Macaca fascicularis: one gene and its partners. Each later gene encodes a partner of the first gene's protein in a complex. Links are inferred from orthologs where the notes say so. Each region holds a gene or a part of one and is shown in the gene's direction. Other genes may lie near its edges.

Evidence for each region. Proteins that work in one complex are often made in the same cells at the same time.
Region 2: MED24 (region 1) and MED8 share a complex: the UniProt entries of both Homo sapiens proteins name them as parts of the mediator complex. The link is inferred for Macaca fascicularis from reciprocal best matches to the Homo sapiens genes MED24 and MED8.
Region 3: MED24 (region 1) and MED19 share a complex: the UniProt entries of both Homo sapiens proteins name them as parts of the mediator complex. The link is inferred for Macaca fascicularis from reciprocal best matches to the Homo sapiens genes MED24 and MED19.
Region 4: MED24 (region 1) and MED7 share a complex: the UniProt entries of both Homo sapiens proteins name them as parts of the mediator complex. The link is inferred for Macaca fascicularis from reciprocal best matches to the Homo sapiens genes MED24 and MED7.
Region 5: MED24 (region 1) and MED31 share a complex: the UniProt entries of both Homo sapiens proteins name them as parts of the mediator complex. The link is inferred for Macaca fascicularis from reciprocal best matches to the Homo sapiens genes MED24 and MED31.

What each region holds. Positions count from the first base shown.
Region 1 is NC_088390.1:61,093,043-61,096,542, reverse strand, and holds part of MED24 (mediator of RNA polymerase II transcription subunit 24), read left to right. Parts: intron 1-1,370; coding exon 1,371-1,453; intron 1,454-1,744; coding exon 1,745-1,831; intron 1,832-3,497; coding exon 3,498-3,500. UniProt on the Homo sapiens protein: Component of the Mediator complex, a coactivator involved in the regulated transcription of nearly all RNA polymerase II-dependent genes.
Region 2 is NC_088375.1:191,388,300-191,392,236, forward strand, and holds the start of MED8 (mediator of RNA polymerase II transcription subunit 8), read left to right. Parts: upstream 1-1,137; 5' UTR 1,138-1,321; coding exon 1,322-1,677; intron 1,678-2,332; coding exon 2,333-2,477; intron 2,478-2,981; coding exon 2,982-3,122; intron 3,123-3,309; coding exon 3,310-3,391; intron 3,392-3,753; coding exon 3,754-3,937. Other genes in the region: KICSTOR complex protein SZT2, read right to left, coding at 1-19. UniProt on the Homo sapiens protein: Component of the Mediator complex, a coactivator involved in the regulated transcription of nearly all RNA polymerase II-dependent genes.
Region 3 is NC_088388.1:15,892,750-15,897,014, forward strand, and holds the start of MED19 (mediator of RNA polymerase II transcription subunit 19), read left to right. Parts: upstream 1-1,465; 5' UTR 1,466-1,498; coding exon 1,499-1,715; intron 1,716-4,265. Other genes in the region: TMX2 (thioredoxin-related transmembrane protein 2), read right to left, coding at 874-1,062. UniProt on the Homo sapiens protein: Component of the Mediator complex, a coactivator involved in the regulated transcription of nearly all RNA polymerase II-dependent genes.
Region 4 is NC_088380.1:163,931,908-163,936,117, reverse strand, and holds the start of MED7 (mediator of RNA polymerase II transcription subunit 7), read left to right. Parts: upstream 1-1,410; 5' UTR 1,411-1,469; exon of another isoform or gene 1,470-1,865; intron 1,866-4,210. UniProt on the Homo sapiens protein: Component of the Mediator complex, a coactivator involved in the regulated transcription of nearly all RNA polymerase II-dependent genes.
Region 5 is NC_088390.1:6,692,436-6,696,377, reverse strand, and holds the start of MED31 (mediator of RNA polymerase II transcription subunit 31), read left to right. Parts: upstream 1-1,142; 5' UTR 1,143-1,195; coding exon 1,196-1,223; intron 1,224-2,009; coding exon 2,010-2,087; intron 2,088-2,366; coding exon 2,367-2,463; intron 2,464-3,942. Other genes in the region: C16H17orf100 (uncharacterized protein C17orf100 homolog), read right to left, coding at 455-811. UniProt on the Homo sapiens protein: Component of the Mediator complex, a coactivator involved in the regulated transcription of nearly all RNA polymerase II-dependent genes.

The sequences.
Region 1 (3,500 bases):
CTTCGCCGTGTGTGCTTCGCCGTGTGTGTGCTTCAGCGTGTGTGTGCTTCAGCATGTGTGTGCTTCAGTGTGTGTGCTTCGCCGTGTGTGTGCTTCAGTGTGTGTGCTTCACCGTGTGTGTGCTTCAGCGTGTGTGTGCTTCAGTGTGTGTGCTTCGCCGTGTGTGCTTCAGTGTGTGTGTGCTTCAGTGTGTGTGTGCTTCAGCGTGTGTGTGCTTCAGTGTGTGTGCTTCGCCGTGTGTGCTTCGCCGTGTGTGTGCTTCAGCGTGTGTGTGCTTCAGCATGTGTGTGCTTCAGTGTGTGTGCTTTGCCGTGTGTGTGCTTCGCCGTGTGTGTGCTTCAGTGTGTGTGCTTCACCGTGTGTGTGCTTCAGCGTGTGTGTGCTTCAGCGTGTGTGTGCTTCACCGTGTGTGTGCTTCGCCGTGTGTGTGCTTCAGTGTGTGTGCTTCAGCGTGTGCGTGCTTCGCCGTGTGCGTGCTTCAGCGTGTGTGTGCTTCAGTGTGTGTGTTTCAGCGTGCGTGTGCTTCAGCGTGTGTGTGCTTCAGCGTGTGTCTGCTTCAGCGTGTGTGTGCTTCAGCGTGTGTGTGCTTCAGTGTGTGTGTGCATCAGTGTATGTGCACTTCGCTGTGTGTGCGCTTCAGCATGTGCGTGTGCTTCAGTGTGTGTGCTTCAGCGTATGTGTGTGCTTCAGTGTGTGTGTGCTTCAGTGTGTGTGTGCTTCACCGTGTGTGCGCTTCAGCATGTGCGTGTGCTTCAGCGTGTGTGCTTCAGCGTATGTGTGTGCTTCAGTATGTGTGTGTGCTTCAGCATATGTGTGTACTTCAGCGTGTGCGTGCTTCAGCGTGTGTGTGCTTCAGCGTGTGCGTGCTTCAGCGTGTGTGTGCTTCAGCGTGTGTGTGCTTCAGTGTGTGTGTGCTTCACCGTGTGCGTGCTTCACTGTGTGTGTGCTTCAGTGTGTGTGCTTCACTGTGTGTGTGCTTCAGCGTGTGTGTGCTTCAGTGTGTGTGTGCTTTGCCATGTGCGTGCTTCAGCGTGTGTGTGCTTCAGCGTGTGTGTGCTTCAGTGTGTGTGTGCTTCGCCGTGTGCGTGCTTCACTGTGTGTGTGCTTCAGTGTGTGTGCTTCACTGTGTGTGTGCTTCAGCGTGTGTGTGCTTCAGTGTGTGTGTGCTTTGCCATGTGTGTGCTTCAGCATGTGTGTGCTTCAGTGTGTGTGTGTGCTTCAGCGTGTGTGTGCACCCACAGCATACACCCAGGCTCCAGGCAGAAGGCAGCCAGGCAGCTCAGGCTGATGTCTCCAGCAGACAAGGTTGCCTGAGATGATCAGGGCCTGGTGGCCCTGGAAACCAGGTGGACACTTCTGCCTCTTTCTAGGACTTCACTGAGGATGTCAACTGTGCTTTTGAGTTCCTGCTGAAACTCACACCCTTGTTGGACAAAGCTGACCAGCGCTGCAAGTATGAGCTCCCCTGGTCACCCCTACCCTACTGGAAGGGGTTCTGGGCTCTTCCCCTGATCTCTGTGCCAGAGAAGCCTCAGGGGACTCTGTCTCCTTGTTCACTCCCCTTGGCAGGGGCAGGAAGCAGCAGCCCACAGTTGCCAAGTCCCCAGAGCCCCTCTACTGTCCCTCAGGCCCTCCAGATTTTCCTCACCTGAAAGAGGGAGGATGCTGCTCAGGGACTGGCCACTCCCACCCCTCGCCCTCCCAGCCAGGTGCCCAGTTCCCTCCACATCTTTCTCTTTCACAGCTGTGACTGTACAAACTTCCTGCTCCAAGAATGTGGCAAGCAGGGGCTTCTGTCTGAGGCCAGTGTCAACAGCCTTATGGCTAAGCGGTAAGTGTGAGCGCGCCTGGGCTACCCCAAGAGCCCCTTGACCTCTCTCTCTTTACGGTGGGGCTGCTGGGTGCCTTTCAACCTCCTGTCTAAAGTTTGAGTTGCACGTGACTGGGACTGTGCCTGGGGGTACCAGCCGGGTGCGGTGACTCAGGCCTGTCATCCCAGCACTTTGGGAGGCTGAGGTGGGTGGATCACCTGAGGTCGGGAGTTCAAGACCAGCCTGACCAACGTAGAGAAACCCCATCTCCGCTAAAAATAAAAAATTAGCTGTGGTGGCACATGCCTGTAATCCCAGCTACCTGGGAGGCTGAGGCAGGAGAATCACTTGAACCCGGGAGACGGAGGTTGCGATGAGGCAAGATTACGCCATTGCACTCCAGCCTGGGCAACAAGAGCAAAACTCTGTCTCAAAAAAAAAAAAAAAAAAAAGCATGGGTGTCTTCAGACCAGAGTTTTACGTTCTTAGTCATTGCTCTTTAACTCATACCCATCTTTCTGATAAAAGTAAAAATCCTAGGCCGGAGGCAGATGGATTACTTGGAGGCCAGGAGTTCAAGACCAGCCTGCCCAACATGGCAAAACCCCATGTCTACTAAAAATACAAAAATCAGCCGGGCATAGTGGTGTGTGCCTGTAATCTCAGCTACTCTGGAGGCTGAAGCATGAGAATTGCTTGAACCCAGGAGGCAGAGGTTGCGATGAGGCGAAATCATGCCACTGCACCCCAGTCTGAGTGATAGAGTGGGACCTTGTCTCAAAAAAAAAAAATAAGTAAAAATCCTGAATCTTCCTTTAATCTTAAATGTGCTTTAAGAACATTTAAGACTAATGATAGGCTGGGTGCAATGCTTCACACCTGTAATCCCAGCACTTTGTGAGGCCGAGGTGGGCGGATCATGAGGTCAGGAGTTCGAGACCAGCCTGGTCAACATAGTGAAACCCCATCTCTACTAAAAATACAAAAATTAGCTGGGCGTGGTGGTATACACAGTAGTAGTAATTCCAGCTACTCAGGAGGCTGAGGCAGGAGAATCGCTTGAACCCAGAAGGCGGAGGTTGTAGTGAGCTGAGATTATGCCACTGCATTCTAGCCTGGGTGACAGAGCGAGACTCTGTCTCAAAAAACAAAAGACTAATGATAAATAGCCAGGCGCAGTGGCTCACCTGTCATCCCAGGACTTTGGGAGGCCAAGGTGGGCGGGTCACCTGAGGTCAGGAGTTTGAGACCAGACTGGCCAACATGGTGAAATCCCGTCTCTACTAAAAATACAAAAAAGTAGCCTGGCGTGGTGGTGAGTGCCCAGCTGCTCGGAGGGCAGAGGCTGCAGTGAGCCGAGATTGCACCACTGTACTCCAGCCTAGGCGACAGAGTGAGACCTGTCTCGAAAAAAAAAAAAGACTCAGGATAAATCAATGATTGCGACATTGACTATGCGTCCATAAACTTCAGCTGAGATCGCACCACTGCACTTCAGCCGGGGCGACAGAGCGAGACTCCGTCTCAAAAAAAAAAAAAAAAAAAAAAGAATTTCACCCCAATCTGGATATTCTTACATGCTTCCCACCTCCTCTGCTCATTTCCTTCTGGGCTTGAACGAGGGAATGTGTCAAGAATTTCTCTTCATTCCTCTTCCCTTCCTTGACCAACTGGTGATGTCCACAGCAA
Region 2 (3,937 bases), on another chromosome or scaffold:
CGGGGCGCTCCGAGGCCATCACACAAGCCCTCCCGCGCCGGCCCGGGCCCGTGTGTTCCACTCTTGACCCCTGACCTGGCTACCTCGGCACCCGGAAGGAACAGGAAGTGGGTGGGAGGGCCGAGTTCCAGTTTTCTGATTGGTGGACGAAGCCTTCTCAGAGGCGTTTGCTGACAGGAAACCGGAAGTGGAAATCGTTGCAGTCGCCTCGGCCGCCGCAATGCAGGTGAGAGCCGCGTTGGGAGTGCTAGCGGCTGGCCAGCTTCGGCTACAGGGAGCCAGAGTGGGCTGGCTAAGGAGAATGAAGAGTTGGGACTGAGAAAAGAGGGCAGAACCCACGGCTGATAAGGGAACGTGGGTTGGGGGGCGAGGTTAATTGGAGAGGGAGCGGCGCAGATGAGAGGTGGGGGTGGAGCTCGCCTGACAGAAGGCGGTCGGGCTAAATCCGGAGGGAGGAGGCAGCACTGACTTGCTTGGCGTGGGAAAGGATTAGGTTGTAATACGGGGAGGCCGAGATGCAGTCCAAGGAAGACGGCTCAGGAGGTGGTGGGTTGGCTCAGGCCCTGTCCTAAGCTGCTGGATGGAGGCTGTTGGATGCCGATATAGCAGGGGATCTAATTGGAAAGAAGCCCAAGCAGTGAGGGAATTGTGGGCCGCGGTGTCCGAAAGCTAAGCAGCTTGTAATGTGAGGCCATGGTGGAACCCAGGATCAAGTTCCTGTCAGGCACCTTAGCAGGTTTGCAAGACAGTTTTGCATCACTCTTCCCAGCCTGTGCCCTATAGTTGTTAAGGGTGAAGAAATGGAATAAAACAGGATACCACCGATGGGAAGGAAATGCTTTGCAGACCCCCGGCATTTTAATTTGTTTGTTCAGTGCTTAGAAGCATGTGCGGTTTTGGTTTTCATTTGTCACTTAGTTTCCTGCAGCTGGTAGTCTCAAGAAATGTTATTGGGTTGACCGAGCTTGTGAAAGAGGCACGGGAATATTGACACAGAGATAGATGGGTGCATATTAATTCAGCGAGGAGAAGGTTGAAACATGAAATGATGAGAGCAGATGGAAAGCTGGAGTGGTTGGTGGGGGGAGGGAAAGAGGAGAGCAGGGCTGGTATTCAGAGAAGTCTTCATGAGTAGGCAGATTTCCCAGAGACTGACAAGAGAGCCAGGCTCACAAATGCTAGGATGGAGGAAGCTGGAGTGCATGTGCTACAGAGGTGCACATGAGATAATGATCTGGCATTAGGTTTGTCGAAAATGTCTCAATGAGGGAGTGTAGGGTGTACCTAATACAGAGAAAAACCAGGCATAGATTAGGAGCGGATGGGAAAAAGGAATCAGTTGGTGGAAGTACTTGGGTCAGGCAAACGGTTGAAAGGTCTCAGGGTTGATGCTGTCTATAACCCAAATACCACAGATAGGAAACAACCTGGTTATCCTATGCCAATGAGATCCTGTTACCTGACTGGTGTTTGCACACCATCTCCTTGGCTTTTCAGCCCTCCTTTCTATGTGTCATACTCGTTTATCTGGGTAACCAACCTGTTCCTATTGGTGCAGAGAGAGGAGAAGCAGCTTGAGGCATCATTAGATGCACTGCTGAGTCAAGTGGCTGATCTGAAGAACTCACTGGGAAGTTTCATTTGCAAGTTGGAGAACGAGTATGGCCGGCTGACCTGGTAAGGGTTGCCAGGGCAAGCTAGGGAGGGCTTATGGGTGGGGGGGCCTAGCCTTCTGATGAATAGGACACTTCTAATGATGTAACCATTTATCAGTTTACAAACATCTTTTGATTTGGAAAGAGCTGGGTTTCGTAACATTTAGCAAGTGGCTTCCATGGCAAGGAAGTAGAGAAATGCTCGGTTTCCTAACCCAAGTTCATTATAGCTTTCAATTCTTACCCTTTGACTTCTCTGGTGAGGAGGTCCTCCTATTACAGCTCTATTTGTGCTGGATCTCTTGCCACAAATATGGCTGAGTCCTTTAGATCCAACCTACTCTGAAGTGTGGATCCTATTTCCAGGCTGGAAAGAAGGATTTTACCGGGTTTCTGAAGTTTTAGTTATAACAGTATAGTCCTATTTTGCCACTGTTCCTCACCTCATTCAAACAATGAACTGGATTTTTTCTACATCTGTTTCATAAACTGAAACTATGTCCCTCTTTCATAACCCTGTCATCCTTGTTAGTTTCTTCCCACTTAGGCTAGTCATAGGGCTATGAGACTTTTGGGGATAAATCCGAGTGTTCCTAGCCTGAAGGAACTAGGACTATTTTACTAAGAACCACCCAAGGAAGGGGTGGAACATTCTGACACCTGCTTACTGCCAACAGGCCATCTGTCCTGGACAGCTTTGCCTTGCTTTCTGGACAGTTGAACACTCTGAACAAGGTCTTGAAGCATGAAAAAACACCGCTGTTCCGTAACCAGGTCATCATCCCTCTGGTGTTGTCTCCAGACCGAGATGAAGATCTCATGGTAAGAGCAGAAAAAGAATACAACTTGGGAAATTAAGGAGTTTTTTAGGCTTCTTTACTATTTAGGGAAATTAAGTTCTTAGCTGAGAACTTAGAAATAATTTTGGAGGCCTTGCTTTTTGTTCTTCTGAAGGTGGGAGAGCCACTCCCAAATAGTGTTGTAATAACCTGAGGGGTATGTCACCAAGGCTGGTACCTTCCTTCTCCAACATCTGTCTCAAGCCACAAAGTCTGCCCTTTGGTGACTTTGTCTGTTTCAGTCTTTGAAACGTGGCAGACAGTGATAGTTTAATTTGCCTCTAGGTCTGGTAGAGATAGGGATGTGAGAAGACACAAAAAATGAAGGCTGGAGTAAAGGAGATTGTGTCCTAGGAAACTAGATATTATGTCTTAGGTTGTATTTTCCTTGAAAATGCACTGTTTGCCTGTGGATGGGACTGTATATCAGGCCAGATAGAATCTTCTTGGAGTGCATAGTAGGATCAATAAAATCTGTGTGTTGCAGCGGCAGACTGAAGGACGGGTGCCCGTTTTCAGCCATGAGGTAGTCCCTGACCATCTGAGAACCAAGCCTGACCCTGAGGTGGAAGAACAGGAGAAGCAACTGACGACAGATGCTGCCCGCATTGGTGCAGATGCAGCCCAGGTTGGACTGAGTCACTGCCTTGCTGCCCCATCCCCATCCCATCATGAGAAGCTAGGCATTACCATTCCTGTCTAGTAGGGATGCATAGTTGGTTGCACCTAAGCTGCTTCTGGCAGAACCCAAGGAATAAATTTGTCCATATCGTTTCCTAGTTACCCTAATCTCTGCACAAATTTGTGTGTTACAGAAGCAGATCCAGAGCTTGAATAAAATGTGTTCAAACCTTCTGGAGAAAATCAGCAAAGAGGAGCGAGAATCAGAGAGTGGAGGTATGGTGGACTGGTGGCAAAACAGAGAAGGAGAGGTATATAAGATCACTGGAATGGGAATGGTTGTTTCGAGAGTAGTGAAGTTAGGACACAAGAGTGAACTGCTTTAGGGTTTGCATCCATTCTGTTAGCCTTTTGTATTTAAGGCCAACCCTGAAGCAGTGGAGGAAATGGGCAAAGTAAGAAGAGAGAATTCTGAGATAGGCTTGGGGGTCCTCTGGCTCTTTTTATGGGCTGTGAGGGAGTCTAGATGCTGCTGAATTCAGAACTCTAAACCCTGGCACTCATACTGGTCTTCCAGCTGCCACGTTCAGTCCTGCATCAGAAACATACTTCAGGATCCCCACTTACTTTTTCTTCAGGTCTCCGGCCAAACAAGCAGACCTTTAACCCTACAGACACTAATGCCTTGGTGGCAGCTGTTGCCTTTGGGAAAGGACTGTCTAACTGGAGACCTTCAGGCAGCAGTGGTCCTGGCCAGCCAGGCCAGCCAGGAGCTGGGACGATCCTTGCAGGAACCTCAGGATTACAGCAGGTGCAGATGGC
Region 3 (4,265 bases), on another chromosome or scaffold:
CCTCATGCTATGCACGTTAAAATAAAATTTCTGTGCCTTTCTCCTATTAACGTGCCCTTTGTCGGCTGATTTTTCAACAAACCCTCAGAGAGCTAAGGGGAAGCTTTGCCTTGGCCCTTACATGCTATATAGCAGAGGGTAAAGTGCTTTAAGTTCATGTTCTGAGCAGTCCCTCCACCCATTCCAAGGAAGCACAGCAAGGAGCTTGGGACACTTCTCAAAGAAAGCCCAAAGATTTCTTTACAACTTATTTTTTACAATTCCTTTACAGTAGCCCCAAAATTTTATCCACTTTCGCATCCTCAGGATCAAGCAGAGTGCCTAGAGTGTACACTCTAGAAATGTTGATTGAATTAAGAAACGGCTGACAGTGTGTGCAGGTAGTGTGGCCACAAGAATAGTTTCAAGTCCCAGGCACTCATTAGTTGCATGACCTGGGGCAAGTCGCCTAAATATACCAAGATCCATTCCTTCACCAATGAAACAGGACTACTACTACTTGCCTTCCCTACCTTACTGGCTCCTCAGGAGGCTTTACATAATGAGCGGCACTGTAAGATGCTATACACGTATATGTACAGTTTTGACAGGGCTGTTTCTTAGTCTAAATGGTGAAATGGAAAGAAACCTGGACTCAACAGTCAGAAGCTGTTGGGCCGTTGTACAGGGCTACGACTAACAGGTTCCGTTTTCCCATATTAAACACAAAGTTTAGTCTCGACGATGTTTCGGACTCTGCACTTTACAGTCTGTTAAATCCGCTACAGGCTCGGAACCTCAGGTGTCCTCAGAAAGGTAAACCCCAGGGTTCCCAGATGCACCTGCAAGGGCAGGGACAGTCAAGGTCGCGGTACTGAGACGCGGGACGCTCACCCAGTCAAAGTCACACGGGTTACCGTCTTCGCGTTGGGTGGGCAAACCGTCGCAGAGTGGCGGCAGTTTCCTCACGAGTAGGAAGGCAGCAGAGAGCAGGGCCGACAGAAGGTAGTAAGGTTGGGCAAGCCATCGTGAAAGTCGCGGCACCGAATACACCAGAGCAATTAGAGGAGCCAAGACCGCCATCTTTTCGGCCGCAAGGGCCACTGCTCACCGGCGTCGTAGGTCCGGCCCCGCCTCCCCCACCATAGCGACTGCTATTGGGCTACATCTCAAACGTACGGCCTCTAAACCCGGATGTAGTTCTGTCAACGCTGTGGTATGTCAGAACCCAAAAAAGAACTTAATATCTTATTGGTTGGTCTAGCTGTCGCTTTATCAGCTTAAGTCATTTTATTGGACTGTAGCTAACGTAGCTAGCAGAAGACTCTAATAAGGTTAAATAGCACTTCCTGAACGTTCTCAGAGAGCGACGGAAGTAGTTGTTGAAACAAGGTAGGCGGTGCCTGAGGCATCCAATGACAAGCGGTTCCTTGAGAAAGAGGTGGGTATTCCTTAAAGGCATTGTCCAATGAAAATTACCAACGCCAGACACCGAGACAGCGCCGGGGCGGAGGGGACGATGGAGAATTTCACGGCGCTGTTCGGGGCTCAGGCTGACCCACCACCGCCCCCAACCGCACTAGGCTTCGGACCAGGAAAGCCTCCACCCCCGCCACCGCCTCCTCCGGGCGGGGGACCCGGCACGGCTCCGCCTCCCACCGCGGCCACGGCCCCTCCCGGCGCGGACAAGTCAGGAGCTGGCTGTGGCCCTTTTTACCTCATGAGGGAACTGCCAGGTGAGTACTCGGCCTTGCCAAAGCCAGCCAATCAAATCTTAGAGAGGAGGTGTTGGGCGTGGCTCTCAGCCGGCTAACGGAGGTGCGAGGTAACCTAGGCAACGCATACCCGGACTGTGGAGCCCTAAGTCGAAAGGGCTATTAGGATTCACAAGCAGAGGGATGAGTTGAATTCAACCAAAGGGATGAATGGCGGGGAGCGGGGTGGTGCATCTCCGTGACTGTCTTTTGCACCATGTCCAGGCTGTGTTCCTGACACTGGTTTATGTCTCCCTAAAAAATTATCTAGGGCTGGGCGCAGTGGCTCACGCCTGTAATCCCAACACTCTGGGAGACGGAGGCGGGCGAATCACCTCAGGTCAGGAGTTCGAGACCAGCCTGGCCAACATGATGCAACTCTGTCTGTACTAAAAACACAAAAATTACTTGGGCGTGGTGGCGTATGCCTTTAATTCCAGCTACTCGGAACCCGGGAGGCGGAGGTTGCATTGAGCCGAGATTGCTCCACTGCACTCCAGCCTGGGCGATAGAATGAGACTCCGTCTCAAAACAAAAACAAACAAACAAAAAATCAAGAGTTTGAGTTTGGAACTCGAGAGGCCTGATTTAATATCTTTGGGGACCTAAAGTTTTAGTTACAAGTCTCCCACAGACTTGCTGTGGGTTTGGGGCAAGTTGCCACTCTTCCAAGATTTCTGCGTTTCCTGGTGTCATCAAAGAAGGGGTAAGAATCGAACCAAACTCTTTTCATTCAAAAAATTATTTTGTTGAGTACCTATGTACCAAGCACTTTTCTAAATGCTGGAGATACAGTTGTGAACGAGACTGACAAGATGCTTGCCTTTTTTGGAATGTACATTTCAGTGTAGGAGGCATTGTAAACAAGATAATGTCAGAGAGTGGTTAATGCTAGGAAGAGAAAACATTATAAAAAATTGAAGGTGGCCAGGCGCATTGCTCACGCCTGTAATCCCAGCGCTTGGGTAGGCTGAGGCAGGAGGATCCCTTGAGCCCAGGAGTTTGAGACCAGCCTGGGCAACATGGCGAGACCCAGTCTCTACAAAACATACAAGATTAGCCGGCCGTGGTAGTGCTTGCCTGTAGCCCCAGCTACTCAGGAGACTAAGGGAGGAGAATTGCTTGAACACAGGAGGTCCAGGCTGCAGTGAACCAAGATTGTGCCACTGCACTCCAGCCTGGGCAACAGATGAGACCCTGTCTCTTAAAAAAAAAATTGAGGGGCAGAACTACTTTAGCTAGAGTGGCCAGAGATGCTCTCTCCACATAGCTAAAATTTGAACTAAAATGTAAGCATAGACAAAGGGCCAGCCAGCTATGGACAGGAGGGAGAGATAATTCTAGATACAGGAAATGAGGTCAGAAACCCTGATGTGAGAAAAAGCTTAGAATATCTGAGGGACAGAAAATCAGTTGGACTCCAGTGAAGTGAACAAAAGGAAAGAGTGTTAGGAGAGAGATGAAGCTGGGAGAGTTAGGCAGAGGCTTTTATAAAGCAATAAAGGCATTTAGATTGTAAATACAAAAGGAAGCCATTTAAAACAATTTTTTATAGAGACAAGGTCTCACTGTGTCACCCAGGCTGGACTGCAGTGGTACAGTCATAGCTCACTGTAACCTCCAATTCCTAGGCGCATGCTGTCCTCCCACCTCAGCCTCCCAAGTAGCTAGGACTGCAGGCATGTGCCACCACAGTTGGCTAACTTAAAAATTTTTTGTAAAGACTGGGTCTTACTGTGTTGCCCAAGCTGGTCTTGAACTCCTGGCCAATGACAGTCCTCCCACCTTGGCCACCCAAAGTGCTAGGATTATAGGCCTGAGCCACTGTGCCCAGCCAAGGAAAGCCATTTTAACATAGGAACTTGGTCAAATGTACTTATTTAGAGAAGTAAATGGATACAGGGTGTTAGACGTAGAGCTGACAGGGTTGAAAAGCTGAATATAGGGCCAGGTGCTGTGGCTAACGCCAGTAATCCCAGCACTTTGGGAGGCTGAGGTGGGAGGACTGCTTGAGCCCAAAAGTTTGAGACCAGCCTGGGCAATATAATGAGACCCCATCTCTACAAAAAATAAAAGTAAATTAGCTAGGGATAGCAGCGTACACCTGTAGTCTCAGCTACTTAGGAAGCTGAGGTGGTAGAATCACTTGAGCCCAGGAAGTTGAGGCTGCAGTGAGCTGTGATTGTGCCACTGTGCTCCAGCTTAGATGATAGAGGAAGAAGCTGTCTCAGTTAAAAATACATATTGTATATAGAAGTGAAGGAGATAGAAGAATTGATGCCTTTTTAAGTTTTCAGCTTGAATAATTGGGTGTATGGGTATGAGACTTGGAAGATGAGGAAGGAACAAGTTTGAAGAGGTGGAAATCGAGTTGTTTTGGACATGTTTGGTCTCCAAGATGCTGCCTTTCTCTCTCTTTTTTTTTTTTTTTTTTTTCTCCTGAGACAGAGTTTTGCTCTTGTTGCGCAGGCTGGAGTGCAATGGCGCAATCTCGGCTCACTGAAACCTCCGCCTCCCAGGTTCAGGCGATTC
Region 4 (4,210 bases), on another chromosome or scaffold:
TTTGAATAGAAGAGCGTTAAGATTGGTTTTATATTTTAAGAAGGTGTGGTAAATAGACTAAGGCAGGACAAAAATCAAAGAAATCCAGATGAGAGATAATGGCAGCATGGCATAGGACCATACCAGTAGGGACGGTGGTCAGTCATATTTGGAACTTTATTTACTTATTTTTAAATAGAGCTAATGCAAAAGGCTGGTATGGTAGTTTCGGTGGGGTATGGGAGAAAGGAGAAAAAGGTGATTCCTTAGATTGAACATTTGCAATTGAGTAAAGTGCAACGGGGTAAAGATGTCTGTCACCACTGGATATGAGGGTCTGAAGTGCAGAGGAAACGGTGTTCCAGGGCCTGCATGTATCTGGGTGATATCTGACTGAGAAGTGGTTGGAGAACTGAGTCCTGGGGCAATCCAAATAATCAAATGTGCCAAATGCTGCTGACAGAGGGAGTAAAACGAGGACTGGGAACAAGCATTGGAAGTCACGGGTGCAGGACATATTGGGGTCAGCAGTGAGGATGAATTTCTTCAGGAAATAAATTTATATGTGCGGGGGAATTAAAATGGGGGAGGCCGGGCTACGTGGTTCACGCCCGTAATTCCAGCACTTTGGGTGGCCAAGGCGGGCGGATCACTGTAGGTCAGGAGCTCGAGACCAGCCTCACCAACATGGTGAAACCCTGTCTCTACTAAAAATACAAAAAAAGGAAAAAAAAAAAAATTAGTCGGGTGTGGTGGCACATGCCTGTAATCCCAGCTACTTGGGAGGCTGAGGCACGCGAATCGCTTGAACCCCGGAGACAGAGGTTGCAGCGAGCCGAAATCGCGCCACTGCACTCCAGCCTGGGCGAAAGACACTCCGTCTCAAAGAAAAAAAAAAAAAAAATAAAACAAAATAAACCAACAAAAAACCCTGCATATCTGTATTTTCGAATTTTTATGTAAGATGTCTTCATTGTATGGGTTAAATTAAAAAAGAAAAGACAAAAGGAATGGAACTACCAGCTGCGACTGTCAGCAGAAGAGTTGTAATGCGGGCAGCGGGTGGAACACACGAACAACCTTTGCTAGGTTTTCTTTGGGAGGTTATTTTCGCGTCATAAATGTCTAAATTCATGGAAGTCTTACAAGAGCATGTTACATATTAAAATATAAGATTTTTTCTAGTCAATAAGGGGTCTATAAAAAATAAAGCAATAAGATGTCTTGTTTAATTTTATGCCTTAAAGAAACGAAGAAACAACCCTCACTTACTACTTTTAAAAGTCAGTAAAAGGGGTGGCGATGGCAGGAGTCGAATATACGCAGGCGCAATAGCGAGCGATCGGTCTGAGGCGGATCTAGAATCTCGTTAAAGGACAGCTCCTACAGCCAATCAAAGACAGAGTCGGTGGCTTCTTCCAGGAGGAGACCGGAAATTGGTTTCGGCTGCAGAGGGGGAAGGCGGCTACCAGTGTAAAGCCAGAGTTGAGGTGAGTGGGCGGCAACGGCTTGGGGCCCCTGCGTGTGTGCGTTTTTTTCTTCCGGACCCCGCGGTTTCCTCTGTGCTGGGCTGGGAACTGGGGAGGCATGGAGGAGTTCGGCCTCCGAAGACGCTCTCTCGTCTTTCTGTCCCGAGTCTCTCCGAGAGCGCGGCCTCCCCGCCGCTCGTGGAGGTCTCGGGATGGACAGCCTGGAGGAGGGGGCTCTTAGCGCTGCAGTCCCAGGGCTTCCTCCGTGTGGGGACGCCGAGCCGGAGTGGAGGTTGGGAGACGTGGTGTCTAGTCCCCTCGCCGCTGTTTTTCTAGGCTGTGTGGCCTTGGGCGAGTTATTTGCCCTTTCTGGCCCTTTGTAACATGAGAGTAGCCCTCCCTGCCCTTCCTTCTTCTGGGAGCAGTTGTGAAACAGCTGAGATACGGGGGCAGGCGAGGGCAGTAGATCCCAACCAAGCCTAATCGTCAGGTCCATCTGGAGAGGTTTTTAAAGCGACATACCAGGGCCCATTCACAGTGGACAGAATGAATCAAATCTCTGGGGCTGGGACCCTGGAATATCTGTCGTCTTCTGGTGAGGCGCCTTCTCCCCCAGAACAAACACTAGATGTTGGATCTTGAGTCTGAGAACCAGTTATGATGCTTTGCTCTGGTTTTATTAAAATAAGACTTCCATCGCCTTTGAAAAGTTCCATCTAGAGAGACAGTAGAGAAAAATATAATTTTTGTAATATGCAAGTTCTAATTGTACAATTAGATGCTTCACGGCTTAGAGATATAAGAGAGCTTGCCCTTTGGAGCTAAAGGGACCTGGGATAAGAATTCCTGTTGTACCATTTATTAACTTTTTGATCTGGGGCAACACTTCCCCTCATTGAGACTTGGGATCTTCACCTCTAAAATGAAATTGATAATAGAACTTAATTCATGGGACCCTGTGGTGGCTCACGCCTATAATCCCAGCACTTTGGGAGGCCGAGGTGGGCGGATCACTTGAGGTCGGGAGTTCCAGACCAGCCTGGCCAACATGGTGAAAACCTGTCTTTACCGAGAAATAAAAAATTAGCTGGGCGTGGTGGCACACACTTGTAGTCCCTAGCTACTCAGGAGGGTCATGCAGGTGAATCCCTTGAACCCGGGAGGCAGAGGTTGCGGTGAGCCCTGATCATACCACTGCCCTCCAGCGTGGGAGACAGATTGAGACCTTGTCTCAAAAAACAAAACAAACAACCTTAATTCATAGAATTGTTATGAAGATTATGTTAGAGAGGCCATAAAACAACAGTATCTGTCACGTAGTTGCCTTAGGAAAATGACAACCTAAGTACAGGAATGCACATCGTGTAGGAAAGTACAGAGCAGCACTCGTCACCTAAAAAGGTTTGAGTGGAATGAAACGTAAGGTGTCAAAAATTGTGTTTTGAAGTACCAGATCAATGTTAATTCCTTGATTTTGGTAATTGTGCTGTGGGTAGAAGAAAACATTCTTGTCCTGGGAAAACACATTGAAGTATTCAGGGGTGAAGGAATGAGAAACCAATAAAGCAAATGAAGGAAAATGTTAACATTTGGAGAATCTGAGTGAAGAATATGAAGTGTTCTTTGTATATGCATGCACTTTTTCTGTAATCTGAATTTATGTTATAAGTTTTAAAATGTTGGCTGGGAGTGGTGGCTCACACCTGTAGTCCCAGCACTTTGGGAGGCCAAGGCAGGAGGATTGCTTGACCTCAGGAGTTCAAAACCACCCGGAGTAACATGGCAAAACTCTGTCTCTACAAAATATACAAAAATTAGCTGGGCGTGGTGACATTTGCCTCGTACTCCCAGCTGCTTGGGAGGTTGAGGTGGGAGGATGGCTTGAGCCTGGGAGGTCGAGGCTGCATCATCCTATGCACTACTGTGGCATGGTGGAAACTCAGGGCTGCACCATGCCTGCCCTTAGTACCTCACGAATTCTAAGTATAATATTGCTTCTAATAGAATACTTGCCCCACCTGATGTTAGAGGGTGTTATATCTTGAAACTTTGATAATACCAGTGTAAAGGAGCACTTCAGAATCTTCTCATTGGATGGTATATCTAGGCTTAAGGTAGAGTAAGTAGAGGTTATTATGGCCATAGAAGATACTGGGTTTGAACCTGGGGTTTGAAATTTCTGTGATAGTTGTAGGGAAGTTAATGTGTCCATACAGGCCGGGCGCGGTGGCTCACACCTGTAATCCCAGCACTTTGGGAGGCCAGGGTGGGCGGATCACCTGAGGTGGGGAATTAAGAGACCAACTTGGCCAACATGGCGAAATCCTGTCTCTACTAAAAATACAAAAATTAGCCGGGCATGGTGGTGTGCGCCTGTAATCCCAGCTACTTGGGAGGCTGAGGCAGAAGAATTGCTTGAGCCCAGGAGGCGGAGGTTGCAGTGAGCTGAGATCGCACCACTGCACTCCAGCCTGGGCATCAGAGCAAGACTCCGTCTCAAAAAAAAGAAAAAAAAAGTTAATGTGTCCATATAAAATTGCATAGTTTACTGTGACAAAAAGGATATGGAACTGAATCATTTCATTCAGGAACTTTGGATAATACCATGTGTTTAGTATTTAGCAGTGTTAATTTTGTCAGTGTTTATGAGAGATACAAGTAAGTGTTTGCTATTGGAAATCAATCTGTAACATAAAGCAAAAGTGATTGTGATACGAGATTGGGAGACAACATGTGTAGTTTGGTTATGGAGGAGTAGAGAA
Region 5 (3,942 bases), about 54 Mb from region 1:
GGCCATTAATAATTTATGAGTCTGTTCCTTGCCCCTCAAGTTTCTAGCAGGCATGGAATCATTCCACAGGTCATGATTTCAGTTTGGTCTCTGTTCCTAAGGGGTGAAGGTCTTCTGAGGGCTGTGGATCCCAAACTCACCTGGCTCAGAGGCTCAAACAGCCTCTTTGTCCATCAAGCCAATTTAGACAGCATCCTGGGCATGAAAATCTTTTGTGCTGGCTTCAAGTGAAAATAGTTCACTGGGTCAAAAGTAGGCTGGTCCAAGACGCAGGATGGTCAATAAACGTTGGCTGTGTTCAGAAACTGCGGCTTGGCTGTTTCTTCCATTGATTTATGGTTTGTTTCCATGAAACCGAAAATGATTGGTCCACCTGGCAGCTGGCTGGCAACTGGAGGCCTTTCTGTCCTGGCTGAGGGCCCTGGCCCCTTGGTGGCCTTTGGGAAGCAGCATCTCATCGGGCCGGTTTTTCGTTCTGGCGGGCGGCCGGCTTGGCCCGCGGGGCTGGGCTCTCCGCGCAGTGCAGAGCCGTCTCCACCCTCAGGGACGAGGCCCTGATGTGGCGGGAGGTCGTTTCCGTGCGCTGCGAGGAGGATTCCACGTGCCGGGAGGACGCCTCGAGGATGCCAGGGAGCCGCTTCCCCAAGGGGGAGAGGGAGGGCCCCTCGCTGCGGCGCTGGGAGGTCTCCACCCGCCGGGACGACGTCTCCACGCGGTGGGACGAGGTCTCCACGCGGACTGTGGACGTCTCTGTGTAGCGGGTGGTCCCCACCCGGGGAGAAGACTGCTTGGCCCCTCGGGCTGAGGCCATTCTGCCGGCGTGAGGGGGCCAAGGAGGCCTCGGGGCACCCCCCAGCCCAACGGTCACCGCAGGCAGAAGAGAGGAAAACTACGGTACTGCCATAGCCGGGAGCGCCACAACACGATGACGTGGAAACACCATGATCCTTCCAAGGCTAAAAACACTGGGCTCCTGCCCCTCAGGCGCTCCCACGGCCCGGGCCCCGCCCGCTCGCTATTTTGAAGCCAGCGCGGGTGGAGCCATCCCAGGGCTGGCGGGATGGGCGGAGCCGCCCGGCCCCATATCCCACAGTGCCCCGGGACCGGAAGAGAGAGCCGTGGTTTCCGGAACTTCCCCCGCCACTCTGGGCTTTTGCTCGGTCAGGCTGGTGGCGTTTTGGTGTCTTCGTTTGTTATGGCCGCTGCCGTCGCTATGGAGACAGGTGAGTAGCTCTCTGATCTTGGAGTCTTCGCAGATGGAACTCCCCTCGGTCCAGACGGCTTCCCCGTGGCCTCCTTCCAGGCCTTAATCTCGGCAGGGTTAATATTTGGACAAGGAGGTGAGAAGGCTCTTGTAGCTTCTAGAAAGACTAAGGTACTCTTTGCAGTTTTCCTAATTTGGTTTGTTCGCACATCTTTGCTATTCAGACACCACCCTACCAGCTCCCCGGCGTGGGTGAGACTAAGGGAGAGGACTTGTGTGTTAAACCGTCTCCTCCTTGATTGGTTTTCTGCTTCTCACATGAGCTTGCCTAAGTTTGAAATATCGTCGCCGGACTTTATGTGTCATTCTGCTACTGGTGCTTCTTATATGCATACGCTCCATGATCTTTTAGGCTCTACGCAGTCTCTTGCATCCTAACTTTTTCTTAACTGATTCAGCACGTAGCTTTTGCAAAACTTAATCACTGTTAACAATTGTTATAACGCATTATTAACATAGGGGAAGCCATAGTTGTTACAGCCTACCTTAGTGATCTTAGGAATTCTCCGTTTGTGTTGCTGCTTTCTTTGATGATTTCTCTTTAATTTTAGAGAAACTTCTAACTCCTTTTAATCAGGGCTCCGCTTTTCTTAGATTTCGAAGAAAGGTTTATCTCCCCCAACTCCCAGTTTAGGAAGACCATCTCGGCATTAGTCAGGTTTCTTTATTGCTGTTTCCTTACTGCAAATCAGTATTATATACAGTGACCCTTACTTTCCATGATTTTTGCTGTCTTGTCTCCTAGATGATGCTGGAAATCGACTTCGGTTTCAGTTGGAGTTGGAATTTGTGCAATGTTTAGCCAACCCAAATTACCTTAATTGTAAGTTGTTAAGCACCTCATTAAATTGAGTAGCTACTAATGATTTCTGACAGAAGAGTTGCAATTCAAAATAGTATCTACTTTTACACATTCTCAATTGAATGATATTACACTTATGCTGGTATATAGATATAATTGCGCACTGGGATTTGTGTTTTGAATTCAATGTGTGTTGGTGGTGGGGGTTTTATGTAAATAGATCCTTTACATTAGGGGTAACAAAGCATAGTTTAAAGATTGGTTTGACCTACAGACATTTTTTTTTTTAATGCTTTTCAGTTCTTGCCCAAAGAGGTTACTTCAAAGACAAAGCTTTTGTTAATTATCTTAAATACTTGCTTTACTGGAAAGACCCAGAATATGCCAAGTATCTAAAGTAAGTTTAATTTTTATAATCCTAAGCATGTGTATACTTTATGATATGATAGATTTCTTCGTTTCACATTGGCAAAAATGTATTTGGAATCTCTCCACTTCTTTTCGTTGTCACCATCTTAACACAAGACAGTCTCATCTCTAACTTGTATCACTGCAGTAATCTACTCCCTGGTTATCTCTGCTTCCACTTTTACCTTCCTGCCCCCCCTCCACCCCAAACCAAACCAAGCAAAACAGCTTTCTACACAGAAACCAACTTAGTCATTTAAAAATATAAATCAGAACACTTTACTTTCTTGCTTAGAACCTTTCCATGACTTTCCATACCATGCAGAATAAAATCCAGTCTCTTTTCTTGGGCTAAAGCCCTATATGATCTGGCCCTGCCTTGTCTGACCTTGTCTTTCACCACCCTCCCCATCTCACCAGGTTTCTGGTCCCGAAGAACTCACAGTCTGTAAATGAAGTGACATAAGCCATGGGCTGAAATTAAAAGAGGGTATCTGTAAGGAAGGTGTTTCTGGGGTTATTTGGAGGAGGTGATCTTAACCTGAGTCTTAGAGTTGCTATCTTTTATTTAAGGCCTCTTATGTGCCAGAAACAGTGCTAAATGCTTCATATGCATTAACTCATTTATATATATATATATATATATTTACCATTCAGGTCATTCAGCGACACTTTCGTGTTAAGGCTTACTGAATTGCAAGAAGCATATAACCACAAACCTATTCCCTTTTAATGATTAAAAAAAAAAAAAAAAAACAACACCTTGAACTCATCCCTGCTTTGTGTTAAGCAGGTAGAAAGCAATAGTGAACCTTAAAAAAAAAAAAGTTTGAGAGGAAAATGTTTCAAACTTGTTTCGAAGTCACTTTTCTGTGTCCAATAACAATTGACTCACGAAGCATATACATCTTATATTGCCTGCAGGACCCTTTGCACCTTTTCTGGCTTTTTATCCATTTAATAATCCAAAGAAAAGACTTTTAAGAAAAATAGATTTCAACAAATGTTGTATGTATGTAGATTTACAGACTCAGTGTTGGAAGCCTCAGCCACCAACACGTTTAATCTTACCCACAGCGTTGCCGAGAGATGGTCACCTACCCTCTGGAGGTTTTCACTGAGCCCATGTTACTCTGTCAGGGACAGCTGATTTGACTGTTAGCCAGATGGTAGAAAGTTATTCCTTATATTGTGATATAATGTCTCTCCTTGTAGCTCTAGTCTGATTGTAGTGTTATCCTTCATCTATCTGCAGTCACATGAAGTCTATTTGTCCCACTACTGGTGACATTAATTTTGATAACTTGGTTGTCCCTGGATTGAGCTAGAACCATTCTATACCCTCTTGAGGACAACAACCTTCCAGATACTTACATTCAAGAGAGATTGCAGATTAGCCCCTTTTGGGCATTTTATTCAGTCTGCAGAAGATTTTAGTTTTGTTTTTTTTTTTAATACTTGCCAACAT